Tamandua tetradactyla: one gene and its partner. The protein of the gene in region 1 interacts with the protein of each later gene in a pairwise test. Links are inferred from orthologs where the notes say so. Each region holds a gene or a part of one and is shown on either strand. Other genes may lie near its edges.

Region 1 (10,645 bases):
CGAGCCTGATGCCTCTATTCGATTTACTAAAAGGAAATCCAGACATAAATTCATCCCGGTGCCTCTCTCCGGAGGCGAGACAAGCACTCGGTCAGGTAGAACAAGCGCTCAGTAGCACTGCTTTAACAAGAATAGACCCCCAAAAACCTCTTGAAGCTTGTCTGCTGCCAACCATACTACAGCCCACAGCAGTGTTATGGCAACAAGGGCCATTACTTTGGATCCATCCTGGAATCTCCCCAAAGAAAAGTTTAGAGCATTACCCTACGGCACTCGCAGATTTAGCATTGGAAGCAATCAAAAGGGCTGTGCAGCATTTTGGCCAACAACCTAAAGATCTCAGGGTACCTTACACCGCCCAACAACTTGAGGTGCTTACTGGGTGCATAGATCAATGGGCCATTCTTCGATGTACCTTCCAAGGAAATATTAACAACCAGTTCCCAAAAGATCCCCTCTTACAATTTATCACCCGGCACCCGGTAATTTTTCCCAAAGTAACCTCGCCCAAGCCCCTGGTAGGCGCAATCACCGTGTATACGGATGGTTCAAGCACTGGTGCAGGAGCATACTGGGTAGAAGGGCGTACCCCAAAAACAGTACTCTTTCAGCCACAGAGGCCTCAATGGGTTGAATTACAAGTCGTCATCGCAATCCTAAAAGAGTTTGACGACCCCCTGAATATTATATCCGACTCCAATTATGTCGTGAATTCTGTGGCGGTCTTAGAAACGGTAGGCATGATAAAATATTCCTCCCCAGTAAGACCGTTCTTTATCGAGCTTCAGGAAACTATACATGCCCGACAGTGTCCCTTTTACATAACCCACATTAGAGCTCATACAGGCTTGCCAGGCCCTATGGTACAGGGAAATAACATAGTAGATATGGCCACGCGACAGCCACACATTTTCCCAGCGCTGACACCCCATCAGCAAGCTCAAGAGTTTCACGCTAAGTTTCACATCAATGCAGGCACTCTAGCCAAGCGATTCAACATACCGCGCGCAGCTGCTAGAGACATAGTCAGAGCCTGCCAAAATTGCACAGAGTCAAGAGTGCTTCCTTCAATCGGAGTCAACCCTAGAGGCCTCATTCCGGGAGACATCTGGCAAATGGATGTCACTCACCATTCAGAGTATGGTAAGGCCAAATATCTACATGTGTCAATAGACACATGCTCTCAAGTTATGTTTGCCTCCGCTGAAACAGGAGAAAAGGTCCATCAAGTTATTGCTCACTGCCTTGCCGCCTGGGCGGCATGGGGCAAGCCAAAAATATTGAAAACAGATAACGGACCTGCTTATACCAGTAAAACCTTTCAAAAATTTTGTGAAACTATAGAAGTGCAGTTAAAGCATGGTATCCCTTACAATCCCCAAGGGCAAGGTATCATAGAGAGAGCACACAGATCTCTCAAAGAATTGCTTAAAAAACAAAAGGAAGGAATGGGCCACGGCCTATCCCCAAAAGCCCAACTGTCAGTAGCCTTGTTTACATATAATTTCTTAAATGAAAACTCACAAGGAATGACACCTGCCCTCCAGCATACCACTCCAAACCCATCACATAGAGGTTTGGTCCGATGGAAAGATGTCCTGTCAGGACTGTGGCAAGGCCCTGACCCGGTGCTCAGCTGGGCCAGAGGCTCTGTTTGTGTCTTTCCCCAGGAACCAGGACGCCAGCCGGTGTGGATTCCGGAGAGACTGGTGAGAACCGTGACACCGCCCGGGGGCGCCGAGAAACTGCTGCCCGACAAGTCAGCAAGCTTTCGACCTGAACCATCAGGCCCGGTCTCCAGCCCTACTGATGATGGCGACGACCGAAAAGATGACAACAACAGTGCAAGTGACCCTCCGACCGAGTAGAAGAGAAACTAGCTTTAACCCCACTTTTCCCACTACGAGCTACTGTGGGACTAAGTCACCTCATGGTTCTCTTGGCCCAGGTTGACCACTTGGATTCTTTTAGCAGTGGGACTCTTAGTAACTCTGCTCATTGTTGATTGTTTGTTAGAACGCTTGTTCCAGACGCAGCAACAGCTACGCGTCACCACTATGTTGGCTATGTCACTTGCCCCTGATGCCCCTGGCGACCCCCGCACCGTAGCCCTGTCCTCCCCCCCACTGCGTGGCCCGTCACGGCCACTCAAGGCGGGACGCTCGAAAGTAAGGTCTGCCGCAAAGCCCATGGCTGTATCCCAGGTATAAGTGGCGGCACCAGAAGTCATAATTTTGGTCGAAAGAGAGTCTCTAGGCAAAGTCGCGGTCCTGGCCAGACTAGACTTAAGCCATTGCACAGAGACACCTACGACACTCTCGACTCTGGTTGCCGCTCTCCTGCCCCCCTCATAACCCGGTTGCGAGGCGAAGCACTGCAGGGAGGGTCACGTGGTTTCCGGTTCACGGGCCCTCCGGTCTCTATATGAGGAGGCATTCTGGTTGGTGCCTAGCAAGCCTAGTCCAGACTCCCCAAAGCACCAAAACATGTAGTGGGCCGTTCCGGCCCACGGGAGCTCACTCATCAATGGAGACACCGGGTCAAAATAAGTAAAAAAGGGGGAGATGTGGAGAGCCGCCACCCGGGTCAGGCCTAGTGGACGCGCTGCAGCCTGCTCTAAAGCTCCCCCCGCCCATCGAGTGAGCCAAGATGGCGCCCACATCCTGCTTCCGCGTATGACACACACGCCCACCAACCCGATCTACCAATCACCCTCTTAGACGCGGCAACAACCTATTGGGCTTGAATTATGTATATAAGGTATTGCCCGGACGAGGCGGGGGAGACGACCCACAAGGAGCCGTGCCTGACGGCCGCACAGAGGTCGCTCCCCCGCGGGATGTATTCACCCGGTCGGGGAAAGTTATAGATAATGCAAGCTTAGACCCAGTAAAGATTTGTACTTACAACTGCTGCGTATTCTGGACTCGTTTTCTACCGCCAGGACCGGTTTGTCTGCGTCTCTTTCTCTCTCCCCCTTTTCTTGTCGTACCCTCCGCCGGCCGGGGGCCCGACGTTGAGCGAGGAGACACGGACAACGTACCATTAAAAATACAAATGATCACCCACTAAAAATGGGAAAATAAAAAAACTGACTGTTTTAATTCAGGGGCTGTTGTGGAGGAGTGGATGAGAGACTGCAAATCTCATATACTGCAGTGTGGAGGGTAAAATGGTATAACCTTTGGGGAAACTGTTGAGCAGTTTTTAGCAGTTTCAACTAAAGCTGAACATAAGCTTACCCTACCACCTAACAATTCCACTCCTCAGCATATTAAAGAAATGAGTTTGTTCATTCATAACAAACTGCTATATATTTACACAATGGAATTCCATACAGCAATAAAAAAGAATGAAGTACTTTTATATGTTGCAACATGAATGAACTTCAGATTTTTGTGTTTTTTTGAGTGAAAGAAGCCAAACATGAAAGAGTACAAATTTTCTGAGTCCACTTATATGAACCTTATGGAAAGGGATAATGAAACACTTTATAGGGGCTGGACAGGTTCTATATCTTGATACAGATGATGGCTCTATGAGTGTACAAATGTAATAAAAACCATCAAGTGCCTCACTTAAGATTAATGTACTTGATGTATTTTACTGTATGTATGTCATCTCTCAATTGAAAAAAAAAAGTTCTTAAGAGTAGTCGCTTCAAGCTAGTACTCATCACACCCTTGCAACAAAATACCCCAATGCCAGAACAGTTTTCTGTGAATCTTTCAAGAAGTCAGTTTTTAAGCCACAAATTGCTTTGAAATCTCCTTCAATTCATGCTAAAATTGCACTGAGAATCAAAATATACCTCTATTCTCTGAGAGAAGCAATGTTTCAGACTGCTAACTAAAATAAAATACTTAATGTTTAATTCTTAAATAAAGCTGATGGCCATGTTTATTTTGCGGCTTCTGGACTGCCACCAGCACACTGCTCTATCCTAGTTTGAAACTTAACTGTTATGTTTGCTGGGACTTATTGTGATAATGGATGAAAACAAAAACAAAAACAAAAACAAAAACAAACCTACTTAGGATGTGGGTATCTCCAATAGTTCGAAGAGGAGCCCCACTGAAGCTCAGGAGAACAAAGACACATTTATAATACTATAGTTTCACCAAAAGTTGGTGCTGTTATACCATTCACAATCATCTTCTCTTTGCAGTATTCTGCCAATCCTTGGTACATCAGACCTTCATTAGAGGGGTAATAAACCAAGTAGAATAGATTTTTAAATTACGTTCAATTCTATGTTAGCAGAGGAATTCTACAAAGAGAGAATTCTTAAAATATGCCTTGAATGAGTGAGCTTAACTTTTTTTTTTTTTTAGGTGCATGGTCCAAGAATCGAACCCGGGTCTCCCGCATCGAAGGCGCGCATTCTACCACTAAACCACCTGTGCACCCTACTTTTTATTTAACAGATTAACATTTGAATTCCACAAATGCGTTAACAATTGATAACAAGAGTCTCAAAATAATAAGGGTCACAGGGAATTATGTGCGATTATAATTTTTTCCAAAGAAAAGTTATAACAATAATAATCTAAACACAAATCACTGGGAACTAAGAAAAAGTGAATACAATTCAGCATTTTAGGATTTAAAAACTGTGAGCAATATATTTTTGTAAAGAAACATGATTACGATTACTAGAATTGGAGAAAGGGATTGCTTCTTAGGCCAAAGAAAGTTGAAATAGTATTTTTCAAGTACAAGTTCACTGCATATTCTGCGAGGGCTCTATTTCGATGGCAAAACCAGAACAAGAAGCAAAAGAAGAGAAAATACAAGTCCGAGCTTTCTCCTCTAATCTACCAGAAACACAGCCTAAATTCCCTAACCTTTTATTCCACTCTCCCCTTTCCCAGAGCCTTCTTTCGGCGCTCAACCTGATCGCTGCGGACAGCTAACCGTGGAGGAACTAGGGGCGGGGTGGAGAGTGAGAATTCAAAGCTGACACTCCCTCGCTTTTACCTTAACAAACAGCCCAGGGAGCGAGAGGCCTTCCAGGGATAGGGCCGCCACACCCCACCGCCCATGGACTAAGGATTATTAGATCCCTCACCTCCAAGTGCCGCAAAAGCTGGGTGGCGTTCGCCTCAGACTTAACGGCTTTGTACTGACTGATGATGAGGAGCAAGGACTTCAAGCAGGCGGTGGAGTCCATCGGGACCGATCACGGGCCCACCTGAAGATTTCCACCACCTTGTCTGCTCTGGTCTCCAACTTTCGCCGCGCTTTTTTGATTTTTCGGCCCCACCCCCTCGCTCCCCCGAGCTTCCGGTTCCGGTCAGCCCCCGGAAGTTCCTAGGCACGCTGGGGGGGCTGGATCTCGTTGAAGAGTAGAGGGGTGGTTCGGAGTGCCCACGCACTCGGTGGGTTTGTGGGGGAGGCGTTAAGGCCCGGTCCCTCCAAATCCCCTCTTTTCTCTGAGCCCGCGGGGTTTCGGCTTCATGATCCCGTGAATACGAAAAATCTCGCGAGTTACGCGATTGTGGCTAACCGATGTAGGGGCGTCAGGGGCTTCTGTGGCGTCTGGGGCTGGCTGTTCACCTGTTTGCTTTGCTTTTGTTTTCGTTTGCTTCTTCGGCCTTCACTCTGGATGGCCGGTTTTTCTTTTGTACATCATCTTCTACTTGGGAAATGGTGGCTTTGCCCTAGTCTAGACACGGTGAGGAAATCTGAGGTGGAAGATCTTTGGGCACTAGACTTTGAGGCGGTTTGGGAGGTTCATCATTTTAAATCTCTTATACGTTTATCCCTTCTACCTAGTAATGTTTTTCAGAGTAAACGTTTAGATTTTGTGTCGAGATATTCGTGCCTTTACGGTAGTCTTGTCAAAATGATTCGAAAACACTGCCTCCGGGCGACTCGGGTGTCAGTAGATAGTGTATTGCTCTTCCGGGTGGTTTCGTTAGAGTTTGTTTTTGTAAATGAAGGTGTCAGTTTTTGTCTGGTGTGATTGTTTTATAAATCTCGGTGTTTGGAAAGATGACACTTTGTATTTTTTAAATCGGATAATTAGTGTATGCAAGAATATGTTATGAAGTGAGTGAGTAGATGGTTTTGGAGTCTTAATTTGTGTTAATGTCGAATAAAGCTTTAAAAAACCAACTAATGATAAATTGTAAGCATAGAGTGCATGACCATTTAGTTAACTCATTAATCAGAAATCATGTTTTCTCAATTCAAAGAACGTATTTTTTATATCACTACATTTTTAAAGGCAAGACTTATTTCGATATTAAAAATATAATTTTTGCTATTAAATCTGAAAGCCTCAAATGATTTGGCCAATGAGACATTCACGTAAAAGTCTTTGGTTAAGGAATGTATACATAACATTCATTCATTCAGTAAACAATTATTAAATGTATAACATGGGGCTAGGCATTGCCAGTCAAGATACAAAGATAATTTCTTCACTGCTGTGTAATAAGGGAAATGAACTAAATAGAAAGTACATATGGGAATTCATTATGCAAATGAGAGACCATACAGTGATGGTAAATGGTGGAGGCAGGCTGTGTGGTACAAATCCTAACTCTACCTTTTACTATTTGACCAAAGGCAAATTCTCATTGTATTTCAGTCTCTAGGTAAGGTGAATAAAGTCTAACTAATAGTAATACCTGTTTCATAGGGTTGTTCAACATTTTTGAGACCCTTTAATGTTCAAAGATGCAAGCGTCAGTGAATGAAACAAATTCTGCTGCCATTGAACTTACACTCTGGTAGAAAGACGATAAACAGTTAAAGAAGATAATTTAGAGAAAAAAAAAACAGAGCAGAGGTATTACTCTGGAGTAATGGTGGTGGTTGTGTGGATAGTTATAATTTTAAATGGGGTCATCAGGATAGGTCTTATTGAGAAAGCAGTATTTGAGGAAATACTTCAAGGAGTTAAGAAAGAGCCCTGCAATTTAGGAGAAAAGGTATCCAGATGTTGGGCATATAGGAAATAATAAGAGCAAAGATAGAGTGATAAGGGCAAAGGCCTCGAAATGGGCATGGCAATGTGTTGTCAGGGACAGCAAGGAGGCCACCATGGCTGGAGTGGAGAGAGCAAGGGTAAGAGTAGTTGGAGATAGAGACCATTATAATATTAGTTAATCAATGTAAAGAGAACATTTACCTGGCTTAAGTGGGTTCTTGGTGAATATGGCCATCATTGGATGGTCATTTGCAAATGTAGTGATAAGAATTTAGCAGTGGTATAAATTTGAAAAAAATAGGCTTTTTCACTATACTGGCAAGTATATAATGACCCATATGCTGGGTTTGGGGAGAGCGTAAAAACTGCCTGCTGTAATGCTTTCTTTTTTTTTTAATAGCTTTATTGAGATATAATTCACACACCACACAATTCATAGATTTTTTAATGCTTTCTTAATTAGAAATCTTTCATTTTAAGCGGCCATACAAATTTTGCAGTTTTCTCCATAGAGTAGTTATTTTGATATAAAATGTCTTCCTCTAAAAATCCACACCAAAAATTGATGTTGTAAGTTAGTAGAAGACATCTTTAGCTAGAGATACTTGCGTATCCTAATTTAAGAAACACAGAGCCACACTTTTAAGGTCAAAATAGTGTAGAGGAGGAGGAGGCTATGAAGCTAGATTCAGTTAACTAAAGGTGATGTTAGGCTAGAGCTTGGATTCCATCCTGAATTAAGTGGTGATCTTTGCTTTAGACTAGGGCTTGACCTAGTAAGGTTTGTATTTTACCTGATAACTGGCTGATGGATGGGGTATGATTTTGAAGAGGATGAGACTTGAAATAGGGAGACTGTATAATTTGCTGGACTGTGTCTAAAGGATAACTAGTATAATGGAAGTGGACAGAGTGAAGAGGTGACAAATTTGAAAAATATATATATATAAAGTAGAATAGGCAGGACTTGCTGACTAATTGTGGATGTGAGAAATGAGACAGTGAGTCTGAAAGAATTTCTGAATTTCTAGGTTGGGAGTTTTAGAGATGTAGTTTGCTGAGGTAGTTAATAGCAAGTGTTCATGGTGTATTTTGTGTGCAATGAAATTTTGTATTCTTTGTCATATAATATTTTGTCATTCTTAGTGTATTCCTATTACATGCTTTTTGTTACTGACTGGGTTCTTTTTTTCTCATAAATTTCTCATTTTTATTGCTATTCTTAAAGATACTGATTTTTAGTAAATCTTTCATCCACCTACCTAAAATATCATTTATTTATTTATTTATTTATTTAGGCATGGGCAGCCTCCGGGAATCAAACCAAAATCTCATTAATTTTATTAGAGTTTTGCTTACTATCTTAGATTTTCTAGACGTATCAGTAAATAATGATTTCATCTCTTCTTTTCCAGTAATTTATTACATTGTCATAATCTCTTAAATGTGACATAATCATGGTGGTAGTGAGCAATTTGTCTCATTGTAATAGGAATGATCTCAATATTTTAACGTTTAGTGTGATTTGTGCTGTTGACTTATGATACACATCTTTGTCATGTTTAGGAGATTGGCTTTTTATGCTTGTTTTATTTAAAGATTTGCTAAGAAGTGTTTGCTAAAATAAAACTTGTAGTTTATTATATCTTATTTTCCCCTTTAAAATGTCAATGCTGAAAAAAAAAGGAAAAATGTCAATGCTATGGCTTATGTTTCTTTTTGTCCTTGGGATAAAAATAGCTCACACTTAACATTTACCATGTGCCAAGCGGTGTTCTAAGGACCTTATACTTATTTAATCTTCATACTAACATCATGATCTCCATTTTACAGATAAAAAAAGCTAAGACAGAGGTGACGTAATTTTTGCCCATAGCATACAGGTAGGTAGTAATAGCAAATCCTCTGTATGCTATGCTGCAGGATTTTCCTTTTTTTTATCAGAGCAGCTGTAGGTTTCATACACACTTACCCCTACCCCCCTCTACCCTCCACCTCTGTTCCTGTTAGTAACATTTTGCATTAGTGTGGTACCCTTATTAAAATTGATGAAACAATATTATCATTGTTATAACAACAATATAATATAGGTAATAGTATTATCTATAGTTCATCATTTGTGTTAGAGTTCACTCTTGGTGTTGTGCAATTTTTTGGGTTTTTGAAATTTTAATTATGGTGACATATGCAACCTAATGCTGCAAGTTTGAATGTTCTGATATTCAGGATTTTATATCTATGCAGAGTTAACCATTTTTTCTGTATTCTCCCTCTTGGCATTTGGGTTAGAGTTTACTTTTGAAAAATGTATTAAAGTATTTCCGTCTTTTTCTGAGCTGTGGAATAATGAGAATTACTATAGAAATCAACTGCTCCTTATGGGTTTTATGGACCTAACCTATAAAATCATCAAACTTGATAGCTTATTTAATGGCAGATCTTTGGCAAATATTTGAATTTTGCATATGATCATTGATCTGTTCATTTTTTTCCTACTTTTTCTTGAGGTAATTTTAGCAATATACATATTTAGCCAACTGTTTATCTGGATTTAAAAATGTATTGTCATAAAGTTGCATTAAATACTTCAATAATTCTCTTAATCTTTTCTTTATATGAATATATTTTCTCATTCTGATGTTATCTTTTTCTTAGTGGGGTTTCCAGAGGTTTGTCCATTTTATTTAACTTTTCAGCAACTGACTGGTTTTATTTATTAACTCTCTATTTCCTTTCTTTTCAGAACCACTAACTTTACTTTTTATCTTTATTAACCTGCATACATATTTTTCTTTATTTTGTTCTATTTCAAATTTTATAAAAATTGAAGTTTAGTATACTTCCATACTATTTAGTACAGTTCTGTACATAATGTTCCATATTATTTCATTTATTTTTCATAAAGAACATTTGTTTTATGCATTAAAAATCAGAAAAATTGCTTTATTTCTGAAAAACAATTATGTAAAATCAGTTTAACCATCTAGTAAATATATATTTTTAAAATGCTGATATTTATTCAGTCATCAAATATTTACTGAGTACCAGGTACAGTCCTTTTTCAGTGAGCTTACAGTCTATTGGGGACATAAACAAACTGGAATAAGTGCTACCAAGGAAAGTAGAGACTACTATAGGAGTACTATAGAAGTAATTTTTGTGGGTAAAATATCAAATATCCAATTCTTTCATTCTTCAAGGACTCAATATAAAATCCCTCTTCTCTGTTAACTCTTTATTACTGCTTGTACTTTTTACATTTGGCTTAGTTATTTTCTATAATTTATAGTTGAGGGAACAGGCTTAAGGGAGCTAAATAAAACTGGCTTAGGGTCTCACACCTCTAGTTCAAGACTAACTCTTCTATTTCCTCTGGAAAAACCTAAAAAGAATATATTCAATACTGAATAGTAAAAGGGAAAATTTAATATCTTATAACCAGAATTTAGGTCATATGAGTTGGACTAAATAAGGATGTGAATCATAGTTTTATCAGAACTACCACATTTGTAGAAGGCCCAATATTGTAAAATGAGAATTATCCCAGGATTATGAAACCACAGCACTAGTTGTTCATTCATTCATTCACTGAATTGAGTGCTTGAATGCTAGGTACATTTCCAGAATCTGAAGATGCAGCAGTGAATCAAATACACAAAAATTTCTGGCCAAATCGAACTTTCATTTTGATGGAATATACAGACA
Region 2 (10,645 bases), on another chromosome or scaffold:
TGGCTCCGGGAGCTGTTTCGTATTGTTTCTGTTTCTTTAGTTGCTGTTCTGGAGGAGGAACTAAGACCCGCGCATCTTACTAAGCCGCCATCTTCTCCGGAAGTCTCTTAGGCTTAATTTTAAGTAGGCTTGACCTATCCCCTGTGGGATTAAGTTTCATATGAACAAACCCCAAGACTGGGGGCTCAGCCTATAGCTTTGGTTGTCCACACTGCTTGTGAGAATATCAAGAATTCAACTTGGGGAAGTTGAGTTTTCCCTGGTTCTCACCATTCCCCAAAGGGGACTAAGTTGTTTTTAATGTCTATTGTTGGCAGAGATGGAGAATGAGCACTCTGACTCTCTGACTGCTGGAAAGAATGAATAATGGCACAAACTCTTTGAAGGGCAATTTGATTGCTCTACAGATTCAATGAACCATAAGTGAAATCCCAGCAGGCTCTTTTGTAGAAATTGATTAAAATTCGACCTATTTAGAATAATCAAACAACTCTGAAAAAAGAACAAAGTTAGAGGACTAACACTACTTGATTTCAAGACTTATTACAAAGCTTGTAGGCAAAGTTACCATGATAATGTAGTATCTGGCATAAAGATCAATAAATAAGTCAATGAAACAGAACAGAGTTCAGAAATAGATTGTACATATGTATAGACAATTGTTATTGATAAAGGTACCAGGGTTCCAGTGGAGAAAGGACAGTCTTTTCAGCTATCGATATTGTTATACAGGAACAACAGAATGACTATTAAAAAAAAAAAAGAACTCTGGAAAACAGCTTGACAGTTACTTTCTAAGTTAAATATATACTTAGAATATACCCAGCAACCCTACTTTTAGGTATTTGCTCAAGAGAAATGAAAACGTATGTTAACACAAAAGCCTACCCACTAATGTTTCTAGAAGTTTTATTCTTAATAACCCATAAATGGAAACAATTCAAATGTCACTCAACTGGTAGATAAATAAACAAGTACATCCATACAATAGAATCCCACTGACAATGAGAAAAAAAAGAATGCAACCATTACATGGAAGGACTTGAAGGATCTCAAAGCCATTACCTTAATGAAAGAAGGATGATTCTAGTCAAAGAACATTCTGATAAAACTAAAATATAAGGACAGAAAACAGATCAGTGGTTACTAGAGGATCAGGATGGGCTGAAGGTTTATTACAAAGAGGAATGAGACAAGTTTAGGCAGTGGTTACATAACTATATGTATTTGTCAAAATTCCTAGAACTACACATTAAAATGGATGAATTTTACTGCATGCAAATTACACTTCAATAAGACTGACTTTAAAAAAATGGCCATAGCATTTAACCTAGAAATAATAATGGTTGTATGCAAAGTTTTAATTACAGAAATATCCTTTAAAAGTATTATTTTATATATATATATGTTCCCCCTCCCTGGATGCCTGAGGATTAGCCACCATCATGAAAGACATGGTAACCATCTGGACCAGGAAGTTCATGACCAACCAACTATGTCAGTGGAAACAAACAGTCATCAATGTCTTTCACCCTGGAAAGACAGAGGTACTTAAGACAGAAATTTGGGAAAAAAATAGCAAAAATGTACAAGACTACACCAGATGTCAACTTTGTCTTTGGATTCGGAACCTCGCTTGCTTTTGGCGGCAAGATGACTGTCTTTGACATGATTTACTATTCCTTGAGATTATGCAAAGAAAAATGAACCCAAACACAGACTTTAAAGATATGGCCTATGTGAGAAGAAAAAGACCTCAAGGAAACAGTGAAAGGAATGCAAGAGCAGAATGAAGAAAGTCAGGGATACTGCAAAGGCCATGTTGGTGTTGGCAAAAAAGGAGTAAAGACCCTTCAGGGATTTGATCCATGCCTGCGCAGATTTTTCACATGAGGGTTAATAAAACTATAAAAACAAACAAACAAAAAGGAGTACAATATAGTTTATAAAAATAAACCTAACAGGGAGGGCCACGGTGGCTCAGTGGCAGAGGGCTCACCTGCCATGGCAGAGATCCAGGTTTGATTCCTGGTGCCTGCCCATGAAAAAAAATAATAAACCTAACTATCCAACAGCACAGGAACTGGCCAAAAGGTTACAGTATATCCATGCAGAGAATACTGAGGCCATTTTAAGATATTATAAATGTTCAAAAAGCTTATAAAATAAAATGTAAACAATGATTATCTTTGGGGTGGGATTATATACTTTTTTCTTATCCATATTTTCTAAACTTTTCTACAATGAACATGGATTATATGTTAAGTTATAAAATAATTTTTTAAAGGAACACATAATTAAGGAGTACAGAAGCATGGTCATAGTCTATAAGAGAACTATCTGAAACCCTTTGTAAAATAAACAGAGTCTAATGAAAAATATCAAGAACATTAAGAACTTTTATTTTATTGTTTTGGTAATGCTCAAAGCAGGTCTATTTTTACTATGTTTCAATCTTAACATTCAAACACAATTATTTGCAGATTAAAAAGAGTAGAAATGAAGCCCAATACACCTGAGGAGCCAGTAACTGAGCTCTTAGCTGATCAAGTGACATGGCCCAGATGAATTACTTCCTTACACACACAAAAGATTTTCCAGGTAAGACTGCTGTACTGCCACTGGTAATCTGAGGAACCCTGGCAACAGAAGTGCTACTGAAAGACTGGGGGTGGGCAAATGCTCTTTGACTCTGAAAGAGGGGGAAAGGGTAGATTTCACAAACTAGACCAGTGAATTTGACACCCATATCAGGCAAAATTCTGGCCAGATTTATAAAATCCACTCAGAAAGAGAGGCCGCGATCACTAGGTATCAAATCATAGACTAATAATACCTTTATTGTCTTTGGGTATTTGTACTTCATAAAGCCATCTAGAAAGTCTCACAATATCCTTTTGAACAGGACACAGTATGATCTATATTTACAATTAATGGAACATCACAGACCAAGAGCGTTGCTTAATGGGTCAGAGCAAATATATACAAAGGAACAGTGGTGGCCTGCAGGGTTTGGTCCTCAGTGTGGTCTTGCAACATTTTTATCAATGACTCAGAAAAGAACACAGTTGTACATAGTTACCAAATCTGCAATTAACACAAACCAAAGAGGATGACTGAGTCAGGATCCAAAAAGATCTTGACAGCCTGAAACTCTGCGTTGACTCAACTTGAAATTTAACAAAGATAAAGGTAAGTCTGACACTTAAATCCAGATACTCAATGCAAATACAAGATAGAGAAGCTCTGCCTTGACAGCAATTCATGTGGAAAAGGAAAAAACTGAAATCACAGCTTGAGCCAAAAGCAGAGAAGGTAGAAGGAAGCAGGCTCTGGCTTCATAAATATTATTTTCTTTTCTGCTCAACATGAAGATAACTTTTCTTGTTAGATTTGAAAAATCTAAGTGTTAAGGCCACTTTAGGAGAGTAAGTTTGTTGTTACAGAAGGTCTTCAGACCAAGGGTAGATAACTGCTCTGGATACTGAAAAGAGAGAAGTTGAAGCCAGTAGAGGGTATAGTAGAAGAAATGCCCCTGGAAAATCTATTTACATAATGGCAGATATATTACAATTTATAAGATGGGAAATAATTTCATTCCAATTGATTTAAAGGAGATCGACTGAGATATACTGCATGGGGAGTGCAAATTTAGGCTTGCTTTTTTCCCTTTTATTTCCCTGTTTTCTCTATTAATCCAGATACTTTCTCACTTTTTATAACTAATTTTAAAAGTTTTACACTTGTTATTATGGAAGTGATATATACCCCTTACAGGTATGATTAAACCCTTTTGATGAATATAAAACGAGAAGTAAAAGAGAGGAAAGCTCCTCTCCTGCTTTCCCCACAAACATACACTCCAGACTCCTGGACTCCACTAGTTGTTTTTTTTGGTATGCTGGGGCTCACATGTCATTCTTTTTCTGTGTGAGTTTCTGGTTATTGCAGCACCATTTGTTGAATTTTTTTCTTTTTTTTCTTTGTTTTTTTTTCAGGGATAGATGAACGGGTCTGAATCCCTGAGGAACGTACAGTCTGTATACCATGACATCTTTTATCATATACCACGTTTCCTTCAATAAGACCAGAAGCTCCTAAAAGTAAAGATTTGTTTTTACTTCTGTGTACTCATGTACCAAATACAGGCACACTATAGAAATGGAACATCTGTTTAAACTAACTTCATGATACATACGAAAAAAGTAATAGCAAATTTCTTTAGATGCTAAAAGTCTTATTTTTCACCTCACACTTACAGTAGACATTGATTGTTTTTGCCAATCCAGCATTCACTTACCACCTTTTATCTACCCACCCAGCTCATCAATTTGCTTGATGGTGAGCATCTGAATTGTGCTGGGAGAAGAATGCTATTTAAGTCAATCAGGGCTTCACAATCTCCTACACATGGTTCAGGGTTTGGCATGTAATCCAATCTAGACCAATGAGATGCAAACAACTTGAAGCTGAGAGGGTATAATGAACCCTAGATAATGCAGCCATCTTGAGACCAAAGGAGAGAGTCTATCCAAGTGTGAGGTCACCCAAAAGAGCAAACCTGGGAAAGAGGAAGAAATGAGACCCTGACGACATCACTTAGCACTCCTATTAAGTATTACTATCACCTCATTCTTTACCTCAGAACTAACTTCAAAGCCCTTTACCACCAACTTTACTACACCAGCACCCAATAACCTTATGTTCAAGGAACTCGCTTTAATTGGGCACCTGGGCTGGACTCAGTTGGAGGAGAGAAAAGAACAGGGTTCTGGAAATAAATTTAAACAAATACAAGCATATTTATGCATATATAGTATAGCAGACTATGAGCTATATGAGACTATAGGTGTGCCAACGGTGAAGGCATGAAATGCGGAGAGAGTGAAAAAGTGGCAGACACTGTTCGGGTCTGCAAGTAGGCAGAAGAAAGGCTTCACAAGAAGCGGTAAACCTCTGTAAACTCAGCTTGTGCCACTCTTGCTCATTAGCCCAAATGGCCTTTCATAGTTCTTAAAACTAAATTACTTCCAGCTTCAGATCAACTGTGCCACTGTCTGGTTATTTTTCTCTCAAATCTTTCACAACTGGCTCCTATCTTACCTTTTCAGTCTCACTTTGTACCACCTTTTCAGAGATGACTTTCCAGTTCACCCAACCCGAAGTAGTCTTTTCTCCCTTTCCATCAAAACACTTTTCACCAACTGTGTTTACTAATTTGTTTAGTTTACCAATATTTCCACCACTAGGATGTAAACTTTGTGAAAGCAGGGATTCTGTCTTGAACACCGCCTTTTCTTTATACCCAGATTCTGATAGAGAGCGGTAGGTCCTGAATAAATTAACACTCATGGGAGGACAGAATCTCTGGCAGAAATTGGGGGAAGAGTTGGCGTTGTAAACAGGCTGCTTCCTCTTTGGGAAAGCGTGGGAAAAGCCAGCTAGATTGGAAGCTATTCAGGAGGGTTGAAGGTTTACCAGGTGGGAGTGGACTGTGCGAACAGGGATTCAGGCCTCATCTGGGCGCGCGTGGGGTGGGCGACGGGGTGAGCGGAGGGTGACGGTCAAGACACCACTTAGTGACCAACTGCTAAGCGTTCCCTTAGAGGGAACCAAACACCGCGGCTCTCCTCAACACTGTGTCCAGCACCGCGTACCTTACGTCCTCGGAAATCGCCAGCCCACGGGAACCAAACCAACTGGCCGGAGCTCTCTGGGGGCAGGCGCCCTATACAGAAACGACTACACTCCCCCGCTCCCCACTGGGGATCCAAGTCCGGCCTCCAAACTCAGCGCCCGCTCACCGGCCGGTTGACGCGAGTCTCCCCGCCCCCAGCCCGCCCTGTCGCGGAATTCGGGCCCTCACTTACGCCTGTCTCCGGGCTATGAGCCGATGCATGGGAGTCGCCATCTTAGCGCAGCTCCGGACAGCCGCGCGGGGTCTTGGGAAACTTCTCAGGAGGGGCGGGGCCTTCTGATCCGGCGGCAGGGACCTGGGCGGAGCCAGACGGCAGATTCCAAGTGTAGACAGGGTGGGCGGGGGTCGGTGCGCGGTGCGGAAGCCCCTCTTGCGTGGGTCCTTTGATTTGAGGAAGATAAGTGAGGCCCTCTTCTGGGCCTGAACAGGGTTTTGAGGGATGAGTACACATATATTGGGTAGGTAAGGCAGGGAAGAACATTCTGGAAGGAGTACTCTATTTCTATACAAAGACAAAAAAGAATGAAAGAGTATTCAGTTTTCAGAAAACTGGAAGACCCTGCAGAGTAAAATAGGAAGGAAAGAATTAAACAGGAATGTGAGCATCAAAAAAGAATGACTTTAGCGAACCGTAAAGTGTAAACGTGTTAATTATTTTTATTTTTATGCATTTCACAGGGATGCCAAAAGGATCAGATGAGACTATATGATTTTACCTGGAAAAGGGTTATACAAATATTATTTTGGGATATTTTAGCTGCACCTACGTTTAATGTCAGACTATGGAGAGATTATTCTTTAATTCCAGATTCTTTAAAACATATAAATTTGCATATACATACGTGTTTCTCCGTCTCCCATTAATATTTATTTCAATTAATACTTATTTGAGACCTAAAATGTTGTAAGAGCAGGGACTAGGACACTAAACAAATAAAATCCTTGTACACATGGTGCTTTCGTCAGACAATGAACAAGCCCAAGAAGGCTATTTCCAATGAGCTTATGAATATTCTAAGGATAAATAATTTAGAGTAAGGGGATAAAGAGTGATTAGCTATGGGAATTAGGGAAGGTCTCTGATGATGTGACCTTTGAGCCTATTTTATTAATTAAAAATTGGAATCTTACTACGTTTCTGTTGTTAGGATAGCTTTTTTCATTCCTCAATGATTTATGGGCATCTTTCCCATATCAACAATATAGATCTAATTCACTCTTTTTATGTATTGTATGGATTACATATCTACTGCACAATTTATCCAACCAGTACTCTATTGATGTACAATTGGGTCATTTACCACAATGATAGAATTAATAGATCTTTAAACACTGTTCCCACCCAGACCCAGTTCAGGCAAAGCATGAGCTGGTGCTGCTGTGAGACCGAAAAACATGCCTGGCACAGAAGTAGATACAGATTTATTGGCACTTATGAACAGAAAAGATTCTCCAGTGGCAGCCGGTCCAGAGTGATAGTGCCTGGCTAGGAATAGGAGTGCGGGGGTGGGGGATGGCAATGCGTGTTTGAGTTTAGACAACGACATTCCATATAGTATGAGGACATTAGCGTCTCCCTAGTATAATCTTTAAAGGACGTAGGACCTGATGTTTTACTAAGATTAGTGTTTAAGACTCAGATACAATCTATACCGTTTACGTCTCTGGTTACATGTCTGCCCCCTCTAGGGAGATTGTTTACTTTCTTGACCTTTGCTCTTAGGTAAAGCAGACCAGCTACATGCCTTTTAGGAGGGGACCTGGTCCCTGGGCCCCCACAAGCACTTAACTCAAGTGTTACTGTAAGAAGACTTTCTAGAAGTGGAATTGCATAAAAGGATATATGCACTTCTAATTTTGATAGATATTACCAGATTGGACTTTAATTTAGTTATATCCAAACCTGTTCCCTCCGGAGAATAGCGAATGGTCAAACTGTTTAAACATTTACCTATCTAGTAAGTCAATGTGATATATTGATGAGGTTAAGTACCTTTCATATGATCGTCATAGATTATACTTTTTTCATGATTGGTAACATTTTTAACTTATTTTTCTATTGGATTTTTATTCTTTTCATATTGATGTGTAAAAGCTAAATATTTTACTTATAAATCCTTTGTTTTGTATATTACAAATATTTGTCTGTTGTCCTTTAACTTTGTGATCATTTACCCAAAAGGAGAGTGGTGTTTTGGAGCTTTAAGTATCCTAGAAAAAGTGGAAAATAGATTAAACTTAATCCGTTCCTCTGGGTGTGAACCCTTTGTAAGTAGGACATTTGATGAGGTTATTTCTGTTAAAGGATGACCCACCTCCATCAGGATCCTATTATTGGAGTCCTTGATAAGCTGAATGAAATTCAGACAGAAAAAAAGACACAGAGGGAGCAGTCAGAGGCTGAAAGCGATGGAACAAAGAAGAGAAAGGAGAGGCAGCCAAGTGCATTGCCATGTGACCGAAAAGCTAAGGAGGAAGGATGGCCATCAGGCAACCCCAGAGTGCATTCTTTGGAAGAAAGCATTGCCTTGATGATGGCATACTTTGAACTTTCTCTTAGCCTCAAAACCATGATCAAATAAATTCCCATTGTTTAAGATGAATCATTGCATGGTAATTTGCTTAGCAGCCAAAAAAAAAAAACAGGATGCAGTAAATTGTTATATAGTCATATTTGACAATCTTTTTGTTTACGGAGTCCTTGATTTCGCTTTTATGTTCAAAATTATTTTAGAAATATTTTCTTTATTTTACTGTAATTCTTAAATTGTAATTGATATACAGCTTTGTTTTTATGATTATATACTTAATCCTAATTTTTACTTTATTGGAACATCGTTTAATAAATAATCTGCTTCTTCTCTATTGGTTTGAAATGCCACCGTGTCATATACTAAATATACACAAATTAGTATGTTTGTGCATTCTTCTTTCTTCCAATGATCTATTTGTGGTAGTACCCATCCAATGTTTTTTTTAAATATTTTTATTTTGGTATCATCATGCACCATACAATCCATCCAAAGTATACAATCAGTGGTTCACAATATAAACATATGTTGTGTATTCATCATCATGCTCATTTTTAGAACATTTGCATCGCTCCAGAAAAAGAAATAGAAAGACAAAGGATAAACCCATACAGTCCATTTCCCTTACGCTACCCTATCACTGGCCACAGGTATTGCAAACTACACAATTTTTTTTACCCCTTATCCTCCTCTATTATTTATTTATTTATTGTCCTTATTTTTTTTCACTCATCTGTACATACCCTGGATAAAAGGAGCATCAGCCACAAGGTTTTCACAATCACCTAGTCACACCTTAAAAGCTCTATAGTTGTACAATTGTCTTCAAGAATCAAGGCTACTGGAATACAGTTCAACAGTTTCAGGTACTTCCCTCTACCCACTCCAATACACCGTAAACTAAAAAGGGATATCTATATAATGCATAAGAAACCCCCCCAGGATAACCTCTTGACTCTGTTGGAAATCTTTCAGCCACTGAAAGTTTATTTTGTCTCATTTCTCTCTTCCTCCTTTTGTTCAAGAAGGTTTTCTCAATCCCAGTATGCTTGGTCCTGGTTCATTTCCAGGAATCATGTCCCACATTGCCAGGGAACTATACACGCCTGAAGGTCATGTCCCACATAGGACGGAGGGCAATGAGTTCACCTGCCAAGTTGCCTTAGAGAGAAAGAGAGGCCACACTTGAGAAACAAAAGAGGCCCTCTGAGGGTGATTCTTTGGCATCATTAGAAGTAGGCTTATGAGGGGCCAAGATGGGGGCTTATTTATGTGCGCATTTTAGTTCTTCCTGCAGAACAACTACTAAATAACCAGAAACAGTACAGAACAGCTCCCGGAGCCACGTCAGTGACCAGACACACAGCATACACCAGTCTGGACCAGCTGGACCGGCTACAAGCCTCCCCAAAACCGTGAGTTCCCCAAGCCATGGTGGCCGGTGCCCCTCCCCCACAGGCGGCTTCCCAGAGGGAAAGGAAAGAGACTCTAAACCTGGTCAAGGCGGAGTTCGCTCATTGGGCTCACGGAAAAAAGACAAAAGGGGAGGAAACGGAGGTTTTAGTGGCTGTGTTTCTACGGACACTTGGCAGCCTCTGGATTCAGTGGCGGGACTTCTTGGGCTGCAACTGCCCCAGGCATTGGCAGAAACGGGCTGCTTTCAGGGCTGTCTCCTACCTGTGCCTTCCCCAGGGGAGGGGTGTAGCCCAACTCAGGTGGAATCCCTCTCTCAAGGAATTCAGACCCCAGGGCTTGGCAATTTGAAGCCATTAAAACCAGCCTACAACCTCTCCTCTGTCTCCACCACGCCTCCAGCAGGGAGAGTCTTCCAAAGTTAAAAGTGCCGCAACATCTTTTGCTGGTGCGACCCACAGGCAGACGCGTCACATACTGGGCAGGATAAGAAAAACAGAACCCAGAGACTTCACAGGACAGTCTTTTAACCTGCTGGGTCTCACCCTCAGGGAAAACTGACTCAAGTGACTCCTTCCCCCTGATAGGAGGCCAGTGTAGTCCGGGAAAACCTGGCTGGAGTCTATAATACCTACGTAGACCCTCCTAAGGGTGGGGAAGGAAAAGGCACCATACAAGCAGGGCAAGAAACAAGAAAACAAGAACTGAAAAATTATCCTCTGTTAAACAAAACCTAAGCTAGAGGTCCAGAAAAAGCTGAACTGAAGGTCAAAGGACAGATAGACAACAAATTCGTCTAGCAAGAAAACCCTAGGTAAGAGAAGTGAAAGCAATCACCAGAATAAACTAATTAAGGTAATTAAATGTCTAGACACCAGCAAAAATAACAAATCACACCAGGAAAATTGAAGATATGGCCCAGTCAAAGGAACAAACCAATAGTTCAAATGAGATAGAACAGCTGAAACAACTAATTCAGAATATGCGAACAGACATGGAAAAC

The links. The genes of interacting proteins can lie anywhere in the genome.
Region 2: the proteins of DZIP3 (region 1) and ZCCHC10 interact in binary tests that used the Homo sapiens proteins (3 or more experiments, as listed by UniProt). The link is inferred for Tamandua tetradactyla from reciprocal best matches to the Homo sapiens genes DZIP3 and ZCCHC10.

Annotation. Positions count from the first base shown.
Region 1 is NC_135336.1:38,445,070-38,455,714, reverse strand, and holds the start of DZIP3 (E3 ubiquitin-protein ligase DZIP3), read left to right. Parts: upstream 1-5,387; 5' UTR 5,388-5,677; intron 5,678-10,645. Other genes in the region: protein CIP2A, read right to left, coding at 5,072-5,173. UniProt on the Homo sapiens protein: E3 Ubiquitin ligase proteins mediate ubiquitination and subsequent proteasomal degradation of target proteins.
Region 2 is NC_135346.1:11,882,663-11,893,307, forward strand, and holds the start of ZCCHC10 (zinc finger CCHC domain-containing protein 10), read right to left. Parts: upstream 5,976-10,645; 5' UTR 5,912-5,975; coding exon 5,871-5,911; intron 1-5,870.